3 linked regions of the Macaca fascicularis genome follow. The protein of the gene in region 2 interacts with the protein of the main gene of each other region in a biochemical or structural test. Links are inferred from orthologs where the notes say so. Each region holds a gene or a part of one and is shown on either strand. Other genes may lie near its edges.

Region 1 (7,726 bases), on a different chromosome or scaffold from region 2:
ATGGGATGTCTTTCAATGCGCCTTTCAGTGGAGCTCCCAATGGAAATCAGATGTCCTGTGGTCAAAATCCAGGCTTCCCAGTCAATAAGGATGTCACGCTAACGAGCCCATTGTTGGTCAACTTATTGCAGAGTGATATCTCTGCAGGCCATTTTGGGGTAAACAATAAGCAAAATAATACCAACGCAAATAAACCGAAGAAGAAGAAACCCCCTCGGAAGAAGAAAAACAGTCAGCAAGATCTAAAGTAGGTTGTGATGGTTTTGCCTCAAATTTTATTCATTTGTTTTCTATGTGGATAACTTTTTTGATGGAAAATTTTACATAATATAAAACTAGAATAGTATAATGAAATCCCCCTGCTTCAGCAATTATCAACTCATAGCTTATCTTGCCTTCGTCTGTACTCTCTTCCATTACCCTCTTGAGTATTTCAAAGCAAATTCACTTGGTAAATACTTCAGTGTGTGTCTCTAAAAGATAAGGACAGTTTTTAATATTCCCGCACAATATTGTTAGCACACCTAGAAAACTAATACTTCCTTAGTACTCTCATATCTGGTGTTCAAACTTCCCTGATTATCTCAAAATTTTTTCTTACAATTTGTTCAAATAAGGATCCAAACAAGATTCATATGTTGCAATTGGCTGGTATATCTCTTAATTCTACAGTGTCAGGGGGGTTTTGGCAATCAGAGCCTGAAAAGTAACCAGTGCTTCCATATGGTAACTCCACAAAGCACTGACTTCAGGCCTATGATGGCTATTGGGGAACCAGAGAGGCCAAATGTGTTTTGGAAATTAAAACTACTGCTGTCTCTCAAATAGAAATGGTTTTTTTGCACAGGTGCCTTTCCTTTAAAGGCTCTTTATCATCCCTAGAAGCTTAAAACCCCACGCTAAGATGATTGGACCTTTTAAATCAGTTACCCTTTCAGTAAACGTTCTCCAGGTGAGTTATATTGCAAGATCATAGCAGGAAAGGCAATTAACAATTTATATTTCATTTCCTGAAGCTAAGTATTAATTTGTGTTTCTGGGTTTGATAAAATGTTTCCAGAAGGAATATTCATTGAGCTATATTTTGTGCCTTTAATCATAAAACTAAAATTTAGAGACATTTATTATGAGGAAATAATGGCTAATGAATGTAAAACAGGTTAATTGAAACAAATTGTTAGAATTATAGAAAAAGAATCAAGAAACTTTATTTCAACAAGCTTAAATGTTCAAAATTAAACCAACTACCTTTATCCCAGCCTTCCCACAATATTCTTTGTACTGTGTTATATCATGCTCACTTGCTGCTTCTTGAATCTTATACTTTAAAAGCTTATCATGGTATATTATTAATAATAACATATTTTTCTGAATTCAAACTTAATTATCTAATTTTTCTGATAGCTCTTTCTCAGTTAAATTCTTTACTAGTATCAATCTGTGGGAATAATTATTTAATAAATATTTTATTCTCTCGATAGTCTGGGAGTAAAATTGCAAGGTTATTCAGTTGCCTCTAGTGTGCATTTTTTGCCATCTTCACCAGCCCTTAGGGAAATTGCTTACTTAGGTCTACAAATTGTGAAAGCGACCTTATACAGCATCAGGACTCCTAGGAAAGGGAGACAGTGGGTTTACAGGAAAAGTACCTGCTTCCAGCTCTACCACTAGTTCACTGTGAAATCTTGGGCCTGTTTCACACACCTTTTTGGGCCTTTGTTTTCTCATTCATAACATGAGGGGGCAGGCGGGGCATGGTGGCTCACGCCTGTAATCCCTTCACTTTGGGAGGCCGAGACGGGCAGATCACGAGGTCAGGAGATCGAGACCATCCTGGCTAACCCAGTGAAACCCCGTCTCTACTAAAAAACACAAAAAAACTAGCCGGGCGAGGTGGCAGGCGCCTGTAGTCCCAGCTACTTGGGAGGCTGAGGCAGGAGAATGGCGTGAAGCCAGGAGGCAGAGCTTGCAGTAAGCTGAGATCGCACCACTGCACTCCAGCCTAGGCGACAGAGCGAGACTCCGTCTCAAAAAAAAAAAAACATGAGGGGGCTGGACCAGATATTTGAGATTTCTTAGCTCTACAATTTTCTGAAAGTAAGGGTTACCACTGAATCTTTGCCTGTAATTTAAAGTGAGAGAAGTTTTACAAGGAGCAAATTGTTACGGGGGTCTGGATGTGCTAAAGATCTGCTTCAGGTTCTAAATTTCCATGTGCTAGGGGGCTTTTAAAATGGATTTTGGTGGCTTATGAAACTGTACACAGTAGAGTGAGACAAAACACTACCTAAAAGTGGGTGAACAAAATCAGGGCAAAGGGAAACTAAAGATAGAAAAGTACAATTAGTACTGAGATTACAAACAAAATGAGGCCCATGATCTGTCTTGTTCTTTGAGAATGTGGATGTTAGTAGCTACATTTTCTTCATTTTTTTCTTCCCCACTGAAAATTTTAAGCTACACCCAGGTAAAAGTGAAGGCATCTCAAAGCCAATAGAGATGTCTGCACATTCTGCAGCAAAATTTTTGTTGTGGTGGTCTCAATCTTTATTTGTTCTCTGAACACCATTTCCATCAGCCAACCTATACACCCTTTTGCAAGGTGTTATGAATTGAGCCCCCACTGTTATATCCACAAAAAAGAAACAATCAGACCCTGTAGTTGAATTTGATCGCTACATTGGAGATAGTGTGGTTTCACAGGAATAATATCTTATAACATTGATAGCCCTATGATCAAGTCTTAAAAACATCTAAGGAATGGGTGGTTACATGAAAATTATTGCATCAGGAATTTGTGGAAAGCATTTTGAGTAAATACAGTGCTGTTAAATTAAGTGGATTTTAACATTTAATGAAATTGCCAGATTATTTTTATGCCAATATTTAATGTTTTATCCACACTAGAGAGAGATGAATAATGGTAATACAAACATTTTAGTTCTTCAGAAATAGAGGAAGGGTTAAGCTAGTTTTGTGTATTTTCTATGCAACTTATTCTAAAATATGTTACTTTTTTTTTTTTTTTTAGCACCCCAGATACTCGCCCAGCTGGTCTGGAAGAGGCTGATCAGCCACCATTGCCTGGAGAACAAGGAATTAACTTGGATAACTCAGGCCCTAAACTGCCAGAATTTTCAAACCGGCCACCAGGTGATAAAATGTTAGCTAGATTATACACTTATCACATGTGCATGTGGCATTACAAGGCTTCATTGTCTTCGAGGAAACAATAGTATTTTATCTGCTAACTAGTCTACTTCAGTGATTTAATGTGTCTCGCCTTGGTATTGAGTAAAAATTTCAGATATAACTTTTGAAGGCACATACACACATTCTATTCAAATTTGTCTTTGTTATTTTAAGTCCTCATAAAATCGGACTGAAATGGGGTTGGGCACGATGGCTCATCCACCTGTAATCCCAGCACGTTGGGAGGCCAAGGTGAGCAGATTGCTTGAGCCCAAGTGTTCAAGACCAGCCTGGGCAACATGGTGAAACTTTGTCTCTACAAAATTTTTTTTTAAATTAGCCGGGTATGGTGACACACACCTACAGTCCCAACTACTCAGGAGGCTGAGGTGGGAGTATCACCTGAGCCCAGGAAATTGAAGTTGCAGTGAGCCATGATCATGCCACTGCACTCCAGCCTGGGCTACAGGAGTGAGACCCTGTCTCAAAAAAAAAAAAAAAACCCTGAAATGTGAAGTGCCTCTTTATTCTTGTCAATGTCAAGGTTCTAGTTGGCATCAGAACAGGATAAGATTAAATGGAGAGATGATTTCACTCTAATCCTGCTTACCTGCCTTTCCTGCAGCGTTTCTTCCTGGGGCTTTTTCAAAGCAGGGAACTACCAGGGTTTAAAACAAGGTGATCTTTTTTATAGAAGTTTCATTATTGAGTCTTTAAAATATAAAAAAGATATAAAGAAAAGAGACACCCATTTTTCTGCCACGTAGGTTAATAATTTATAATAAATAGGACCAATATTGGAAGTCCCCTTTGTTGTACCCTCTCTGATTATAAAATAATACTATCCTTTAAATGTTGAAAAATTATGTCAACAATGGAAAAGCTCCTAAAACTAATTCATTCAAACATGGATATTATAGAACCAAAGCCAGCTGCCACAATATCTCTAAACCTAGTTATCTTGGCCTGAGCAATGACTTGTAACTTTATTCCCCTATGACACGGTTGAGAATGCACAACCCTTCACACTTAGGCTACTCTCTCCTGTATGTACAGAGGGTATGTTTTGTTTCTTCCTCACTAGTTATTTCAGCTCCTTTTTGGCATGAAAATGAGAGTGACATTATTTTAGGAATAAACTTTAATCTACCCCTGATTTATGTATTTTAAAAGTGAATCCAAACAAAAAGCTAAATCCATCATTATATCAATATTTTGTGTTATTTATTACAAATTGTTTGGGCATATCACACTTCCCATCAGTGAGATGCAGCGGCATAGCTGAGACTGGGTGGTCATCAGTCTTTGGGGAATATGTCCAGAAGGCATTGAGAACAGGAACATGCCTTCTTGCCTCAGACACATCTGAGGCAACTCTTCTATATTATATGAATCCCAGGGTCTTTGTATACATTTATTGCCTTCTTTCTGCAAACTGGGGACCTGCAGGCTGAATTTGGCCTATAATGGGTTTGAGTTGCTATGCAGTGTCTTAAACAAAAGTCTGAATTTAAATGCCTTTAAAGAGGGCATCTGCTCTGCAGTTTGGCATTGTTGACAGGACTCTTGCTATCTTATACCAGTCCACTTCTATTCTCTACTACCTGCCTGACCCCTAAAGGCATAGGAGTTTGCATTCCCTGAGTAATAAATTTGGTTTGTGACTGTGTTATGGGCACTGTGTGTGTCCTGGCTTTCCCTCTTCACCATTCTGTCACATCAACCCCAATCTATCTTATCATTAGTGCCTTTTGGACTGCTGCCTCCAGCTTCTAGACTCTGTAGCAGCCATGCCCTTAACTGTTACCTTTGAGAGGCTGCTGTATTGTCTATGCTGTCCTCTTTGGTATTTACTGTCTGGTGGGCTGATTTTAAAGATAAAAGGCATCCATGTCATAGCCCTGACATCAACAGGCTTTTGCAGAAATTATGATTTTCTTAATGTGGGAACCCCAGACTGAATGTGAAAAATAGGAACCTGCTATATTTGACTATATAGTCTAAAGGACAATTGAACCATAGAAATGCCATCTGTTATTGGCTTTATAAAGGTCAAGAAGGTACTCGGGCCTAAAATAAAAAAGGATTTTTAAAAAAATCTTCAAAACTGGATTCTACACATTGTATTTGTTGATACCATGGAAATCTTTGGCCAGAAGACATTAATTAGCTATTGAGTACTGAGTCTGACCCACAAAATTTGGTAGCTGCTCTATGAAAATGTTGAGTCAGCATTTCTTTTGACCGCCAGAGCCAATTGCTCTTATTCCTACACCTTCTTAAAACCTCCCCAATGTACTCTTCATGCAACAATGGAATAAATCTAGTTTGTGGAACTGGAATTGTATCCCACATGTGCACAGCTGTATGCCCACTTTTTCCCACAGAACTACCGTTATTCTTGGTTTGCGTATCTTTTTTTTTTTTTTTTGAAATGGAATTTTGCTCTTGTTGCCCAGGCTGGAGTGCAGTGGCGCAATCTTGGCTCACCACAACCTCTGCCTCCCGGGTTCAAGCGATTCTCCTGCCTCAGCCTCCCAAGTAGCTGGGATTACAGGCATGCGCTACTATGCCCAGCTAATTTTGTATTTTTAGTAGAGACGGGGTTTCACCATGTTGGTCAGGCTGGTCTCGAACTCCTAACCTCAGGTGATCTGCCCGCCTCGGCCTCCCAAAGTGCTGGGATTACAGGCATGAGCCACCGCGCCTGGCCAGTTTGTGTAACTTTTTATCTTTTCTGATTGTGAGGTTTTGGTTCTAAAATGCCAAGTAAAATCTTCACAAAAAAGAGAATAATTTGAGATGTTGCCCTCTGCATATCTAGAAGACATTGTCCTTCAGGGTTCTTTTTCCAGAATTATTTTTTATTCCTGAGGGCTATGCTTCCGCCTTCCTTATTCTCCAACTGTGGATTCATGGAAAATATTTCTCCAAATAGAGATTTGCATGTAAGAAAGTTAAGTGCAAATTAATATCCATAAAAACTTCAGTGCCCTAATTTTATTTTCAATGTGTATATCAGCTTCCATTAACTCCTACTGTTTATTAAACTGATTTACATCTGAAGGGCAATTTTAATTCAGTTGGTTTCCCCCAAAGGATTAATCCTGAAGGATGCGGCATAGTGTATGGAGCCAATGAATTGGAATAATTTTAAATTTCTCTTTCTTAAGGAACTGAATTCTAGAATTTTATATTTTACTTCTGTTGAAAGAATAAAAAGGCTGTCTTCAATGCTGTTATTTTCAATAAAACCACATCTTTAAAAAAATTATTCCTATGCTAACAGAAGAAGTGAATCCTAAATGCTTTACTTCATTCACAAGTACATTGAAATATTGATTATGACTACATGAGATCTGAATCTTGGGTAGACAGGCACTTGCTGTTGATGGAGTTTTTATCATTTCATCTGAATGTTTGGCTGGTATAGACACAGCCATTTTCAGTGCATAGCACAGAAAATCAGGCTCTTAGTACAGTCATGGCTCATTCAGACCCTACACACCAAGGAGCTCCAGGTTTTTTGATGCTTTGCTTTTTGCTTCCTTAAGCACTGTGCCCCTTTTGCTTATGTCAAGTAATGAGGGGCTGCCCCCTGCCCCAGGAGTGGGCATGCCTGAGCTGTTTGTGCATAGTCTGTGCCACCTAGATGAGTATTGCTTGGCTATACTCTAAAGGTAGCAACATTTTCTTGCTGAAAAATCTAACTTCCCTGATTTGGGGGGCTTGTTTTAGGTTATCCTTCTCAACCAGTTGAACAGAGGCCACTTCAGCAGATGCCTCCTCAACTCATGCAGCATGTGGCACCCCCACCACAGCCACCACAGCAGCAGCCACAGCCACAACTGCCTCAGCAGCAGCAGCCACCACCTCCCAGTCAGCCACAGTCTCAGCAGCAGCAGCAGCAGCAGCAGCAACAAATGATGATGATGCTCATGATGCAGCAGGATCCCAAATCAGTTAGGCTTCCAGTCTCTCAAAGTGTCCATCCTCCAAGGGCCCCCCTGAACCCCGACTCCCAGAGAATGCCCATGCAACAGAGTGGCAGTGTGCCTGTCATGGTCAGTCTGCAAGGACCTGCCTCCGTGCCACCATCACCTGATAAACAAAGAATGCCAATGCCTGTGAATACTCCTTTGGGAAGCAATTCAAGGAAAATGGTCTATCAGGAGAGCCCGCAGAATCCTTCCAGCTCGCCACTGGCGGAGATGGCCTCGCTCCCTGAAGCAAGTGGCAGTGAAGCACCATCTGTCCCAGGAGGCCCAAACAACATGCCTTCACATGTAGTACTTCCCCAGAATCAGTTAATGATGACAGGGCCAAAACCTGGACCATCGCCCCTTTCAGCAACTCAAGGTGCAACTCCCCAGCAACCCCCTGTAAATTCTCTGCCCAGCTCTCATGGCCACCACTTTCCAAATGTGGCCGCGCCAACCCAGACATCTAGGCCCAAAACACCAAACAGAGCCAGCCCCAGACCCTATTATCCTCAGACACCCAACAACCGCCCTCCCAGCACAGAACCTTCAGA
Region 2 (8,227 bases):
AGTGTGTTTCAGAATGTTTTGTTCTGTTTTCTCCAAACAGTACACATTAGGGAGGAAGTGAGCTCTCTTAAATATGTTTTGAAACTTTTTTTAATGTAAAGATTTCCGAGGGGATTCAAGATTTTTTTAATTCAATAAAAATGCTGTTGACCGTTCAGATGTTTAGTAAAAAGTGAGAGAAAGTGTTTCAGCAGCTCTCCTTTCCTTTTTCATTGCAGTGTTTATATCCAGTTTCAGGGGAGGATAACTGTCCAATTTTTCAAGCACATTTAGAGATTTCTGAAAATTATTTTTAAGTGTTCCTTTGGAATAAAAGTTGAGTCTCTGATTTTAGTTGATATTGTCACTGATGAGAAGCAAGAAATTGCTTGGATTTCTGCCTTTAATGAAAAAGAGAGGGAGCCAGGAAATGCACTGGGCAAAACTGCAAAATCGAATGGATTCAACATGCAGCTCTTAACCAGAAAAAGAGACTTTGAAACATGTGCATTTGCCAAAAAAGAAAACTGCTTTATTGAAAGGTTAATTTTCATATTAGGCTTGGGAAATTTGAGATAAATAAATGAGATCAGACAAAAAAAAACCATAAGGCCTGGATTCTTTTTCCTGGGGTTTTCAGAAAATAGTTATTGCTTCCAGTGAAATGTTTTGACATTTCCAGTAGGGAGAAAATGTTAATTGTAATATTGTGTATGTGTACTTAATAACACTGAATAAATCTTTTATTTGTTTTAAGAGTAATAAGAAAGTAAAAACACTATTAAAACGTTAGCTGTCTTCTTTATTCCTTATGGTAACTTTTCATGCTTTCTAGGATATTGTGATTCATTTTACAGGTTCAAATATATACCAACTGAAGAACATGCTTTTGCTTGTTTTATATCAGTTGTAGTTTTTAAAGGAGTCTTATTACTATCCTCCACATAGATCTTCCTGGGTCTCTTTTCTAATTTTGTCGCATCTTTTGCTCATTCGATAATTCCTCACCTTTTTCCGTTGAGTCCATGGCTCCTTTACTACATTTATGAAAAGTCAGCACTTAAAGACAGCACAATGATGGTCCACTTGACTGTATATTTAATTAAGCTACCTTTTGGCAGAGACAGTGATTTTTTTCTGAACAGCCATCTCTGTAGCCACCAACTCCTTGCTTTGTACTTAACAGACACCCCATAATTTGTTGAATGACTGTAATACCCTCCTTACTTCTGCCATATGTCCCTGCCCCAGAATTCCATGTTGCAATTGATGACTGGAGCTACATGTCCAAAGCAAAGGTCTCACTGTTGAAAATTACAATATTACGTTGTCGATGGTCCTTTAGAGAGAAATACCAACACGGTCACATGCTCATGGACCAGCAGGAAGCCAAAGGTAAACGTCACCACCTGAGGCCCAGCCCTGAAAACAGGCTGCCTAAGAAACAGGACTCGCCAGTGTAGAAGAGCAGCATCTGCCCTTCCTGATGTCATGATCTACAACTATGCATATACGTGACATGCACACACAGGTCACCATCCACAGGGAGAAAATACTATTAGTAATCATCTTAGCAAGCATTTACAATCTAATTTGGTATTTGTTAACTTCTTAGTTAAAAGATATGATGATTCTTACAGAAAATGCTGTTCCCTTTTTGATCACTATCTTTAAGTAACTACATGAATACCACTTAAATCACATTAAATCTTGAAAATAATCTCAAAAGCAGTTTTGAATGGGAATAAAGTGATAAGTGTTTACAGTTTTCCACGCACTACTCATCAGAGTACTATTAAGCACCAACAGAAAAGGAAAGCTGCTATATAATAGGGGTATTCCTCATATAGGGGCATTGGCATACACTCTCCCTCATGCCTTTATAAAGAAAACATAAAATACAGAATTGAACAGTTAACATAAGCTTTAGGTCTCATGTAGATTAGTGCTTATGAGGTAGAAAATAATCATGTGCAAGGAACAGAATAAAACTCACTCGCAGACATCAGCAGCATTTTCAACTGTATACTTCTTTGGCATGTTTTAAAAACCAGTGGGACCTATGTGTCATGGGAAGATGGTTGGATCCTAGTATTAAAAGCCAGTCAGTAACATTCAACAACAGATTCAACCAGTAACATTTGCACAGCTAGATTAATGTTTTGGAGTCAGTCAGTCATCAGGCTCATTACTACTGGATTTTCTCTGGTTCATGCTAATAAACTAGATTATTGATTTTAGGATTTTCTTTGTATCCAAGGATATTCTCTAAGATGTCTTTATAATGTTTCATGCTTAAGCTGTCCAGCAAAATGACATAACAATGAGTAATCGTTTTATAATCACGTTGAAAGGGGTTAAAAACAGCATATAAAATGAATCTTAGCAGCTTCATAGAAACATTCTCGCTGCCACTTCCCTATCTGGGTGGAGGTCATTCCTACCTGCCTGCCATCTTCCCCAGGAATTAACTAGCTGCATGCACAGCTTAAGACCTTTGATAGTCATAAATCTGCTTTCCAATATGTTTGGATGGCAGAAGAGCTCAAAAGACACCTCAGTCTAAATAGGATTTTAGCACATCAGGTGCTATTACAAAGTAAAGCAGGCTGGGTTGCTGTGTTGGTGGTGGTGTTTATTCATCTTCCCTTCGCGTTTCATGTGTATGTATGTATGCTTCTCTGCGTATATGCCCAGCTCTCAGGGTGTATGGGGCTGGAGAATGCATGCGTAGAGTGTGTGTATATGTAAAGTAGAAACTGAACCAGGGAAACAAAATGAACTACTGTATGCAAGAAATATATGAAGTGCACCCAGCTGCCGGCAGCAATTGCTACATGCAGTCCACTGATTATTACGCGTATTTTGAAGATAGTCCGGGTTACAGTGGTTGCGATGCTCAGGCTGTGCCCAGTAACAACATATATATGGAACAGGCCTGGGCAGTGAATCAGCCTTATACCTGTAGTTACCCTGGAAACATGTTTAAAAGCAAGGACTCTGACTTGGACATGGCCCTGAATCAATACAGCCAACCTGAATATTTCACTGAAGAAAAGCCTACTTTTTCTCAAGTGCAGTCGCCATCGTATTCTCAAAAAAAAGGTAGGGACCATTTTGCTTAAATGTGTTCAAAGTTTCACTGTTTGTTTTCGTTTCGTTTTAAAGTTACAGTTTACATCAGCTTCGTCAAATCTTTGAATGTGAACGCTATTTGAAATTAAAAACGGCAGTAAGAGGGGTTGCTAGGTGATTGAAGGACTCTGTGAACATCAAGATTTCCAAGCACTTTTTTTCTTCATCTGTGAAAGCTGGTGTGAGTTGGCTTTCTAGGCTGTATTTTGCTATGTGTGTGTATATATTGCCCAAAGTGACTATTGTTGGCTTCTTGGCGAAAGAAAATATGCGAAAGGTTTCCAGTTGGTGGGTAGGTGTTGTGGTGTCTGAAGTGGGATAATTCTCCCCAGTTCAGGTTCAGATTAAAAACTCATTTGACTTTTTCTTGGCACTTCATTTTGAAAGTTTATTTTCGTTAACTAGTAAAATATGTTAGTGATTTCTTTGACAGTGCTATAATAATGTTGATTTGCTAGGATCTGTAAATGTTCATTTTAATGTATTTACTTATCCATGTAAACAGTAAAGAGTCTATTTGTAACCATGTCAAACTGTAAGAATGTAAAACTCAAACAAAAACTGAGAAACTTTACCTTGCTATTTTGTCCCTAAAGTTGAACATGTCTGCAATCATATCAAGTGAATTCTCTTTATGAAAGGAAGTGAAACACCCTTCAAAATAGCCAATATTAAAACCAGTAAAATATCCATATATCTTAATAGACACCGTGGCTTTATAATGCTGTTTAAATTTCTGTCAATAGAACGTATCTTGCATTACTGAAAAATAAGATACTGAAAAATAAAATAAGGGAGGCAAACAGGTAGAACTCAGGACGTTTAGTAGCAACTGCCAGATAGGAATGCTTTTGAAAACAGTGTAAATTCTAGTGCAGATACGCCAGAATCTCATGTGTTCTGTATATAATCTATAGGATATTGCATAGAGAACCAAATTTACAAGGTTCTGTAATTTACAAAAACATGATGCCCTTTGATCCTCAAAGGTAAATTTCTCTGTTAAATTAATCTTAAAACATAATGTGGTTTATTTAGTTGTGGTTTCTATAAAATTTATCGTTTGCTTTTCTTAGTGTGACTCTATAATTGAAAGTAGTCTGTTATGAAAACAAATGAACAAAATTTTATAAAAACAAAAACTAGAATCTGTAATTTTTACTACATATAGTGTTATTCTATAACTTCCAAGTATGAAATATTAAGGAGATTACAGCATAAAATATAGAGTTGCTCATCTTGATTTTTATTTATAAACATGGAGTTTTGCGTCCTTTTGAAGGTCGTCAGAATCTCATTTCTTACAAGAGACACACAGAGTAAGTCCCCTAATGGAAACACTTGAGATAGATTGAACATGTGCTATTTCACTTAATAGTGTAAGTAATTTAACTTTGAAAAGAAGAAATTAACATTGCCTCATTAAACATACTTGGATATGCCTTTTGTAGTGTTATAAGAAAATATTGGTGCCTGTCAATCTATGTGGTCATTCTGCTATTCTTAAAAATTCCTGCAGAACTTTTGAGGTTCTTTTCTCTTTTCACTGTATTTTCTTCAACCAACACTGGGGAATATTTGCTTATAAAATGTTAAACCAGGGATTCTTTACTAATTAATTTGATGCATGAACTAGAGGAAAAGACACATTGTATGCATATATTGATGTAATTTCAAAGCCATATGTCATTGAAAGGCCACCGCCACCTGCCAAAGTCACTAAATCAAAGCAGGCAAATATTCTTAAATGCACCATTATTTACTTTTACAAGTCTTCAAGTAAATCCCAGTAAAACTAAACCCAGCTGTTAACTGTCTCTTAGGACAAAAGGTTGTACCCAACATGTTTATCCATATTGATCCACTATTGATTTTTGTTGTGTTGAAGGACATCAGTAGTGTCTCATTAAGGCAAAATTAAGACTATAAACAGGTGTTCAGTGGGGTAGGCCTCATTTTCCAATTGGATTTTTATCTATTCACAATAGATAAAAATTCATAATTGCTTCATCTGTGTTCACTTCTGTCATTACAGCTTTATAAACTCCAATAATGCAGCTGTCTTAACTTTTTCTTTATTTTTTTTAAGGATGGCTTATTTCCTAGCCTTTATTTTCTAGTATACAGAGAATCTTATAGAAAAATTACAATCTTATAAAAAAATTATAGGTACAAACTGGTGAAATAAAGGAAGGCTACCCTACCCAATGTTAAGAATGGTTATCTTAATTGGTGGACTTTAGAATAACTTTTAGTTTTCTTTGGATTGTTTTTCTACAAAGGTTTTTTGCATTCATAGCCGAAAGAAGAAGTTATCAAGCTCTGGAAGCATTAAGAACATGAACTAAGGAAGAATCAGATGTCAGTTCATTGAATCACATTTAAAATAAAGCTTCAAGAATTGAGGAGGGGAAAACCAATGTAATTTTCACATTGCGGAGGGCTGAAATGCAGAATGTAATGTGTGTCTTATTTTTCATATGGATTATAAAAAACAAATTTGTAATTTTCAAGAACCCTATCATTCACTCAGAAGATATGATATTTACTGTAATTCTAGTGACATAGCTGTGCAAAGGTATGCTAAGTCCTCACAGGGCCAGTGCTGGCTGCACACTTCTGGCCCCCACAAATTCAGGGGAAGGAGGGAATAAGTCTAGAATCAGATGGAGGAGAATTGGCAACTAGGTTGTTTGTTGTGCTTTCTCCTCTGTGGCTGAGGTTTCAGCAAAGTAAAAAGTTGACTTTTTTTCTCCTTCTTTTCTTTTTTTTTTTTTTTTTAAAAAAAAAAATCCTTTTGTGGGTAGAAGTGCTGGCTGTTTCCATCACAAATTCTAATTACATTCTGAAGTTCCCGAACAGCCTGCATCTTCATCTGGTTGCTCTGAAGGCAGCTTTGCAGGTCAACCTCTCAATTTAGTGTGGGCCGGTTGGGTCTGTTGAAACAGAATCCCTCCTAGGAGTTTTCCCTGGGCAACTCTCCTCCACGGGATTATTTGCTTGACCTTCTACATGCCGTCTTACTTGATAGGAACTGCATGTTCGAAAAGTTGCCTGAGTTTGTTATCATGTCCAAGAGAATAAGAATTTCCTGTTTTTAGGCCAGGACCAAGGAGATGGGGCTGGGGGTGGGGGTGGGGGAGGGTTGTCCTATTCAGTTTTGGTTCTGATTGTATATGTTGTTGCTCTACAACCACATTTTTAGTTGTGCAGAAAGAAAAATTAATAACCGAAGCAGAAACTCCACACAGGACTGTGCTTTCTGAATCTGGTTTCATTGCCCCTCTGACTTGGACACAGAATTCTGTCTTTTTGTACGTGTGTGTGTGTTCTGTAGCTCTGTTGACTCCAGGTGAACAATTAGATAGGCATTTGAAATAAAAATTAAGTGGCAAATTGGGGAATGTTTCTTTCTCAAGCTTTCCTTTCCTTTCCTTCTTCCTCTCCCTCTGTCCCTCTCTCCTACTTTCCCTCCATCTCTTTCCTCCTCTATCTTCTCTTTCTCTCCCTCTCTCTCTCATCCTTACTCTTCCCCTCTACTTGAATTTTTTAATTTAAACACAGATGTGATCAGTCCACCCAGTGAGCTGTTGAGTACTAAATAAATAATCTCTTTTAAATGTAATAGTTAAGTGGTTAATGCAATCATAGATTTTTCAACAATGTGTATGTAATTTAAGGATGTGATGGAAAGTTAGGATTTTAAATTAGGTACTGCCACCCATTTACGGTTCAGAGAAAATACCACTCCAGAAAACAATACCACGACTTTTAAAAATACAGAACACATTCACTGTACAAAAGGTTAAATGAAAGTGCCTCTTGGCACCCAGAAATGAAAGCAAAGTAAGGAGCAATAATCATTTCCAAACCAAGTCCAAGTGCAGACAAAAGCATGAGCTGATTCTTTTCTTTCCTTTTCTTTCCTGAGAATTAACTCTCTTGTCAAAGACATGTCCTTCAGAGATTTCACTGAATGCCCTCACCTCATCCAGAGCATGCATTGCTCCTACTCACAATGAAAGCTAACAGTAGGAGTCCAAAGAATTATGAGCAAATGGAGTCAGACGCCTGGCAGGCTTGCAGAGGAATGGTGGCCCTGCTGGCCTTCTGCATATGGAGTTCATATCCACCACCTCACATGCCTCCATGAATACTTCTTCATAGTCAAGCACGCTTTTTTCTCAGCTTTCAGTCTGAAATCAAGCTGCTTCCCTCCCTGCCACCCACTCTGGTCCAGCTTTTATGATCCCATCATCTTATGGGTCCTTGGCTTCACCGGTACCCAGTTGGTTATCTGTATTCTTCCTGTTTCCAGAGCCTTGGGAATACTGAGTTTCCCGTGCGCTGTCCTTGGTACTTCCCTCTCATCCGCTCCCTTGGTACCAGCTGTTGTAAAGAATTTCCTCAGCTCTCTCGGAGACTCCTAGAATGTGCTTTCGAGCAGTCACCCCACACACCTGCTTTCCTTATCTGCAGATACCTGCGCCATATTTTCCTGCCTTTCTTCCCTCCAGGTTCACCCTCTCTTGCTTAAAGCCTTCTGCTTCCAGCCACTCAGGGGCAGTTCTTCCCCATACTCTGCACCACCACAGGGCTCCTTCTCAAGGTTTTGGGCCCTTTTCTATTACCACAGATTTCACCAACTCTTCCCTGCCCTCAAGAGTTCAATTTTGATTATGGCTTTGTGCTTTTACCCACACCCTCTGTTCCAGAAACCTTGGCCAGTCTCCCCAGGGGTTCCTCTCTCTGTCACCCCAGTCTCCATCCCTGAACCAGTATGCTTTCCTCCAGCTGTCACCCACTGCCAACCACACCCTGGTGGGCCACCTTGCTACTGTCAGCCTGCATCACTTTATGTCACCAACTCAGTTCACAGCCCACCAGCCTCTTCTATTACCCAGCAACACATGCTCTCATCACCCCTGCTCCCAAGCAGCCCTGCCTTCAAAAGCAGATATCCTTTGTTTTATAAAATAGCTCTGAATCATTTGTGTAAATCACCTGTGAAAAATAGTTTATTATATATAAAGTATATTAGACTAGGGTTTCTTAACCTTGGCACTATTGACATTGGGACCACATGATTCTTTGTTGTGATGGTTGTCCTGTG
Region 3 (7,726 bases), on a different chromosome or scaffold from region 2:
CGTAAGCCACTGGGCTCAACCTGAATTATTATTTTTGAATTACAAAAAAACAAACAAACAAACAAAAAAACTCACCCGAATGAAAAGGAAACTGCTGTTTGGCTTCTCCTGTGTGGGCATCCCAAATTATTGTTGTCTGTGCTCCGCAAACAAAGGAAAAAGTTAGTAACTATTCCCGCAGTTTTCTCTGGAAACATTTATCATACAAGAAAAGACAGTGAGCCCTTCTCCTTATAAACCCACACTGTCCAAGAGAGATAGAGAGTGAGCCTTACGGGCTAGTTTCAATTTTCTAGGATCCACATTAAGAAGAAAGAAACTGGTAAAATTCGTTAGCAATCTATTATGTTTAACTCCAGTATGCCCCTAAATATTACCATTTCAACATGTAATCAGTATCAAAACCTTGCTGGGATATTTACCTTCTTTTTCTCGCATACCACATCATTAAAATACAGCATGTTTCAAACTTAGCAATCTGGATGGCCATGCTTGATGAAGCCATCAGCCACATATGCTGGCATCTCCCTTAACTCATTTATGCCTGAGGTTGCAATTTTTTGAATTCTTGCAATCAGACCTTGGCAATGACCCTGAGCAGTAGGATATAAATAACTCCCACATGCCTAGCATTCCGATAATGGAACACTAGGCATAAATGGGCTTAAGGACAGAGCATCCCTAACGAATACTTGCAAGAACTACCAAAATTGGTAGGAATTCCTCCTCATCCCCAAATGCCAAAAAATGTTGAAAAACCTGGAACAAAGCATCTCTAAAGATCTTTGTGGCATTTTTCCAAGTGAAGGGCTGCAGAAACAAGCATTTCTAAAAATGCCTCTGCCCATCCCTCCATGAACCGGGGACACTAGACATGGCAGAGCCACTGGCTTGCACTGGGGCCAGGCACCGACGTATTGGTCTAACAGTAAGTAGAAAGGTGAGTTTCTCCCTCGGAAAACAAAGGAAATCATGAATTTTTATTAATTTACTCATGCTAGGAAGATACTTAGAAAACCAGCTCAATGAATAGCATTGGAGTTACATCTTCATCAACTGGAATTTTCAACTTAATTGGAAATTTTACACCTCTCTGTTAGTGACACTCAGTCAAGATTTTGCTTTAAAAAGAAAGAGTTCTATTTTGTGTTGACTGTGGACATTTTCAGAGGAAAGCAAGCAGTGAGTCTCTCTGAAACTTGGTACTCCTGGGTTTTGGATCAGTCCTAGACCAATTAACATTTCTTTGTTGGGGTGTAACTCTTCTTAATTTAGCCACGCAAAAACAAATCTAACACTGCAGAGAATATATAAACTCTTTCACAGTTCTGATACCATTTCACATATGACATCAGTGACTGGGTCTCTTAGTTGATGTTAAATATACATTGGACAAAAGAAAACAGTTATGCAAACATTTGAAGAATGTGACACACATTTTAGTCACTCTGTGTTGGTCAATACCAGCATCCCCTAAGTTACATTTTCTCCCCGAGTGTTATGTACAAGGACATTATTTTCACTCCTGCTGTGGTTGACTAAGTAATGATAGTGGATCGCACCCAGCCCAAGAGACTAACATAATTCCACATACGCATTTTCACTGATCACATAGTCCATCACCTGGTGGAGTTAAGACTGATAATCAGTGAGAAAAACAATCACGAATGTTAACAGTCTCCAGGTAGGAAGGAGGCCGGCTATTTAACAAACAGAATTTTTTGTTAAATTTAGAATTCTACGGAAGTTAAAGGGCAGTAGTTACCGGTGACCAGGGCCTGAGTTCCCATCCCTCTGCACCAGCTGTGTGTCCCTAGGCAAATTAATAACCCTCTCTGGGCCTCCAGTTCATCTTCTATAGAATGGGAGTGATCCTACTTGTGCCTGTCTCCTATCTTGGCAGTACTGGATGGGTTAACACACGCAGTAGTGAAGTGCTTGATAAAGAAAAATGCTGTCATTTTCATGAGTTATTTTAATAACTCAAGCAGCAATTACTGAGAGCCTACTGAATGCACAGCAAAGTGCTGCATATGCATGTTACTTGAATTAGAACATCTTGGCAAAAATCCGATAGTAGCTACATAAGAACGTTTATGTGTCAACCACAGCAACTCGGCTTTTAAAATATCATAAACCAGGCTACTAAGTCTGAAAGAAAGGTTTTTTGGCTTAAAAGAGAGAGAGCAATTATAAATGAATGATTTGTTGACCTAGTTATACCCTAGTGCAGGACTTCGCAAACTTTTTCTGTTAAGGGCCAGGTGGCAGGAATTTCAGGCTTTGAGGGCCATCCGGTCTCCCTTGCAACTGCTCATCTCTGCCACTGTAGCATGAAAGCAACCATGGAGAAGTCTCAACAAAGGGGTGTGGTTGTGTCCCAATACAACTTTATTTAAATTAAAAAATCAGGTGAGGAGCCAGGCTTGGCCTGTGTGACAGTTTGCCAAATGCAATTATTTAATTTAGCAATTTCTCCAAAAGTGGGATGATGTTCAGAGGTCAAGTCTATCATTTTATTTATTTGTTTATTTATTTGAGACAAAGTTTTGCTCTTCTTGCCCAGGCTGGAGTGCAATGGCGCAATCTTGGCTCACCGCAACCTCCACATCCCGGGTTCAAATGATTCTCCTGCCTCAGCCTCCTGAGTAGCTGGGATTACAGGCGTGCACCACCACACCCGACTAATTTTGTATTTTTAGTAGAGATGGGGTTTCTCCATGTTGGTCAGGCTGGTCTCGAACTCCCGACCTCAGGTGATCTGCCTGCCTTGGCCTCCCAAAGTGCTGGGATTACAGGCATGAGCCACCGCGCCCAGCCAAGTCTATCATTTTATAATAACTTTCAGAACTAGAAAGAATAGAAAGCTCTTAGTCAGGTTTTTTTGTTTTGTTTTGTTTTTTTTGAGACAGAGTCTCACTCTTCTTCCAGATCCAGGCTGGAGTGCAGAGATGCAATCTCGGCTCACTGCAACCTCCTCTGCCTCCCTGGTTCAAGAGATACTCGAGCCTCAGTCTCCAAGTGTCTGGGATTACAGGTGCCTGGCACCACGCCCGGCTAAGTTTTGCATTTTTAGTAGAGGCTGGGTTTCACCATGTTGGCCAGGCTGGTCTCGAACTTCAAGACTTAGTAAGTTTTCAAGTTATCCTGAAATCATCACAAAATGCAAAGCTTTGTGGAGGCCCGGGCATCCAGTATTCAGGCAATGTTTCCATTTGTTGTAGAAACACAAATTGATGTGAAAACACATCTTTTTTTTTTTTTTTCAATTCTAAATAATATGCTTCTTTTCCAAAGCAATTCCTGCTGAGTCTCGGGAACGCACAACTGTTCCACGAAGGCTGTCTGGGGTCATGACTCCAGCCAGCCCTGTCGCTGGACAAGTGAGGGAAGTGAAATGCAGAGAGGCTGAGGTTTCTGGCTGAATCAGACTCAGGCCCGGGATGAAGTCTGCATCTCCTTACTCTTCGCCCTTGGGTTCCCACCCCATCGATGGCTCTTAAATGCACCTGGAGTTAACGCCACCGTGTATCCCTGCAGCCCTGCCCAGGTGCAGAGCAAGCCAATTCTAAACTGACTCTGTGGGCCATCCGGAGAGTGTGCCCTTGTAGCCAGGTTGCTTGACTGCTGCTCAGAGAAATCTGCAGTCTATGGTGGGAAGCAGCAGTTTATCAAACGAGGAAAGCCGAAGCCTGAAGCACACACACAGCCTGTGCCACTCGCCCCTCAGTGGGTGAAAGTTCACGCGGGGCACACCCCATACCACATGGCTCCTTCCGGCAACTGACAAATGCAATGTGGAGATTTTCCTCTCTCTACCACTGAACCATGTACCTCAAATAAAGGGAAGCTTTGCACAAGGGTCTGCAGGACAGAATATATTAAGAGATGATGTGTTACAAATTAACAGAAAGATCAAAACCACAAAAACAAAGCCTAAACAAATCCTTTTCGTTTCTTAAGGGGAAGCACAAAGCCTAAGAGTTCCAGGAAACCACGATGGTATTTTGAGATTAAAAATATATAACCACCTGTGGATCAAAGGGATATATTTTAAGCTAATACTCACTTTGTCTACACCAGCACTCAAAATGTAATTCCCCTTTCTGTTCCATTTCAAGGCAAAGATGGGGCCTTTATGTTGGCCTAAGGTGCTGGCCAGGTTACCTGTTAGTAAAAACAAACATGTTGACTTCAATGTCACGGTCTGTTCACTCAAGGGTTAAGTTTGGCAACTCCTCTTACCCGACCTCAGCACGAGGGACACAGAACTCACCATCTTCCGTCCATATTCTTGCAAAACCGTCATATGAACCTGTAGCCAAGAGTGTTCCATTGGTCTGAGGGCCAGAAAGAGACAGAAACACACAAAAACAACTTAGGAGTGGCAGCACCAAACAGCTCCAAGAGCCTCTCCCAGGAGCCCGCTACACTGGAACCATTTGCCACTGTGTGTTCCTTAATGACAGAATTGAAAATACCATGCTGAAAGGTATCGCGAAACCTTGCAGAAAATAAAAAGCAGCCAAACTGTGTGCATCCCATGTGTCAACGCACAGGATACCTGCTGCTGAAATCCCAAGGTGGAGGGTCACCTCTCCTGGGCTGCACGTCGTATCTCTCCAGGAGAACTACCTCGGGGCTCCCGGCCTACCTTCCCACCATGAGGCCACAGGCTCATTTTGCTATGGCATGCTCACATGCAAAGATACGGCTACCGAACACACAGCTCGCTGCCTGCCAAATGCAGCCTTGTTAATACCTCTTAGAAGCCAAGACTGGCCGGGGGCAGTGGCTCACGCCTGTAATCCCAGCACTTTGGGAGGCTGAGGCAGGAGGATCACATTGGGTCAGGAGTACGAGAGCAGCCTGGCTGACATGGTGAAACCCCATCTCCACTAAAAATACAAAAATTAAGCCAGGTGTGGTGGCGCGAGCCTGTTAACCCCAGCTATTTGGGAAGCTGAGGACAAGAGAATCGCTTGAACCCAGGAGGCAGAAGTTGCAGTGAGCTGAGATCACACCACTGCATTCCAGTCTGGGCAACAGAGCAAGACTCTGTCTCAAAAAAAAAGAAAACCCACACAAAAAAAGAAGCCAAGAGCACCTCTCTGGCAGCCCATTAGAGTGGGGCTGAGCACACGGGACCACCTGCCTCCTATGTCTGCATGAGCTCCATGGCTGCAGTCCTCCCCTGGTGGCTGGCTGATTTTACCAATTTCAAAGTGCCCAGGGGGTGGAAGACGCTTACATTCCAGTCCAGTGAGGTGACATCTTTGTTACTTGGGACATCGTGGCCCCCTTCTCGTATACAGTGCCTCAACACGAGCTGGGTGGAGCCCCCGTTGCTATTCTCATTCAGGTTCCATATCCTTGCAGTTGAGTCTCCGGATCTGCAGAATAAAAACACAGGAGCCTCTGGCGTTTGGTTCAAACGGGATAAGAAGCTCTCCACAGCTTACTCTCTGGCCAGATGGCATTTTCAGCACGTGCTCTTCTGTCTTTTTCATACCTCTGGATCCCTGTTTCCCTCCTTGCCATCTTTGCATTTGGTAATTTTAAATGCTGTTGTGTTCCTCATCACCACATGAAGAAAATGACTTGGAACGATGGCTTCTCCACAATATGAGACATGTAGAGAAATGGATCATAGAGCCACCCATTCCTCGGTCTGCCCACACTGGGGTAAGAAGGGGAGTGTGTGTTCCTTAAGGCAGAACTCCAGAGAAGGGCAAGAGCCTGCATCTCCCATCTCCCCAACTTTGGAGCGCCCCCATCCTGACATCCTTACCCGGAAGCTAGCAAATCACTGACAGGATTCCAGGCACAAATGAACACCTCGGACTCATGGCCCCGAAGGACTGTGGCTTTGCTGGATGGAATGTCAACCTCTCCATCTATTTCCATTGGCTTCGCGTGATTATCTGTTACAGGAAACACAGAGAGACAAATGGCTTACCAATACAAGAGAAACACACTTAAAGGGCGCTTTTGTTTCCAGAAATATTTCTTTTTATGTACTAAGTAATACTACCTCTGATGATCCCTTTTCTTTTCTTTCTTTTTTTTGAGATGGAATCTTGCTCTGTTGCCCAGGCTGGAGTGCAGTGGCGCAATCTCGGCTCACTGCAACCTCCACCTCCCAGGTTCAAGCAATTCTCATGCCTCAGCCTCTCAAGCAGCTGGGATTACAGGCACCCGCCACCACACCTGGCTAATTTTTGTATTTTTAGTAGAGGCGGGGTTTCACCATGTTGCCAGGGTTGGTCTCAAACTCCTGGCCTCAAGTGATCCACCTACCCCAGTCTCCCAAAATGCTGGATTACAGGTGTGAGCCACCGCGCCCGGCCTACCTCTGATGATTCTAGCGAAATCGTGGTTTTAGTGCAATTTAGTAAATATTTTAGGTTTCTTTATATTTTGACAGTCTCTAAATTTCATTGAGGAATAAAAACAATTTGCTAAGTGCAGGGGCTCACACCCAAAATCCCAGTGCCTCAGGAGGCTGAGGAGGGAGGATTGCTTGAGACCAGGAGTTCAACAGCAGCCTGGGCAACATAGCAAGACCCCATCTCTATTGAAAAAACAAAAAAACAAAAAAAAAATTAGCCAGGCATGGTGGTACACACCTGTAGTCCCAGCTACTCAGGAGGCTGAGGTGGGAGTATCCCTTGAGCCCATAAGGTTGAGGCTGTGTGAGCTATGATTGTGCCACTGCACACGCACACCAGCCTGGGTGATAGTTACTCTTTATAACTGGGGCCAGCTAACTACAGCCCATGATCCAAACCTAGTCCCTGGCTGCTTCTGCATAAATAAAGTGTGACTGGCACACAGCCGCTCCACATGTTTTCAAATTGCCTATGGCATGGCTACTGTTATGGGCCAAACTATGTCCCCCTAAAATTCATATCTTGAAGCCCCAATTTCCAGGACCTCAGAATGTGGCTGTATTTGGAGATAGGGCTTTCGAAAAGGTGAGCAGGGTAAAAGGAGGTCACAGGGGTGGGCCCTAACCCAATGGGACTGGTGTCCTTATGAGAAGAGGAGATCAGGACACAGACACAACCAGGGGAACGAGCAGGTGAAGACATGGAGAGAAGACAGTCTCTACACGCCAAGAGAGGCCTTGCGAAGTAACCAGCCCTGCCCACACCTTGATCTCAGTCCTCCAGCCTCCAGAACTGTGAGAGCAAATTCTTAAGCTGCCTGGTGTGTGGCCTTTTGTTATGGCAGCCTGAGCGGACTCTCACAGCGGCTTTTGCACTATGACAGACTTCAGCAGCCGTGACACAGACTGCATGACCCTCAAAGCCTGGAACATTTACTGTCTGTCCCTGTAAAGAAAGTTTGCTAGCCCCTGGTTTATACTCCCGAGAAAGCAGCAATATAGCCTGATCATCAAACAATTAGCTACGGTTAACAATTTCACAATACGGAGAAACGGTGAGGAATTGAGCACGCTTCGTCATATGTCTTTCATAAAGGTGCTTTGGTAGAAAACCTGGGAAACAGAAGCAATGTGATATTAGGTTACCTGTCACTAAGTAAGGAGTGCTGTTTATGTAAAAAATAAAATGCCTGGTGGTCCTGCTTGGCTCGAGAAGCCTGATACAAAAGATTCAAACAACAATGGGACTCTTCAATGTTGGTGTTTCTTCCACGCTCTTAAAGTGCCATCTGGCTGGAAGAGAGGAGAAACATCTTTCTGTGTGTGGCAGATCCA

Evidence for each region. The genes of interacting proteins can lie anywhere in the genome.
Region 1: the proteins of THRB (region 2) and NCOA6 form a complex in vitro, tested with the Homo sapiens proteins (2 studies listed by BioGRID). The link is inferred for Macaca fascicularis from reciprocal best matches to the Homo sapiens genes THRB and NCOA6.
Region 3: the proteins of THRB (region 2) and TBL1X form a complex in vitro, tested with the Homo sapiens proteins (2 studies listed by BioGRID). The link is inferred for Macaca fascicularis from reciprocal best matches to the Homo sapiens genes THRB and TBL1X.

Annotation. Positions count from the first base shown.
Region 1 is NC_088384.1:90,784,869-90,792,594, reverse strand, and holds part of NCOA6 (nuclear receptor coactivator 6), read left to right. Parts: coding exon 1-247; intron 248-3,031; coding exon 3,032-3,153; intron 3,154-6,930; coding exon 6,931-7,726. UniProt on the Homo sapiens protein: Nuclear receptor coactivator that directly binds nuclear receptors and stimulates the transcriptional activities in a hormone-dependent fashion. Coactivates expression in an agonist- and AF2-dependent manner.
Region 2 is NC_088376.1:24,183,241-24,191,467, forward strand, and holds the start of THRB (thyroid hormone receptor beta), read left to right. Parts: upstream 1-2,674; 5' UTR 2,675-2,756; coding exon 2,757-3,084; intron 3,085-8,227.
Region 3 is NC_088395.1:9,373,155-9,380,880, reverse strand, and holds part of TBL1X (F-box-like/WD repeat-containing protein TBL1X), read right to left. Parts: intron 5,925-7,726; coding exon 5,792-5,924; intron 5,394-5,791; coding exon 5,252-5,393; intron 4,341-5,251; coding exon 4,277-4,340; intron 4,168-4,276; coding exon 4,070-4,167; intron 137-4,069; coding exon 76-136; intron 1-75. UniProt on the Homo sapiens protein: F-box-like protein involved in the recruitment of the ubiquitin/19S proteasome complex to nuclear receptor-regulated transcription units. Plays an essential role in transcription activation mediated by nuclear receptors.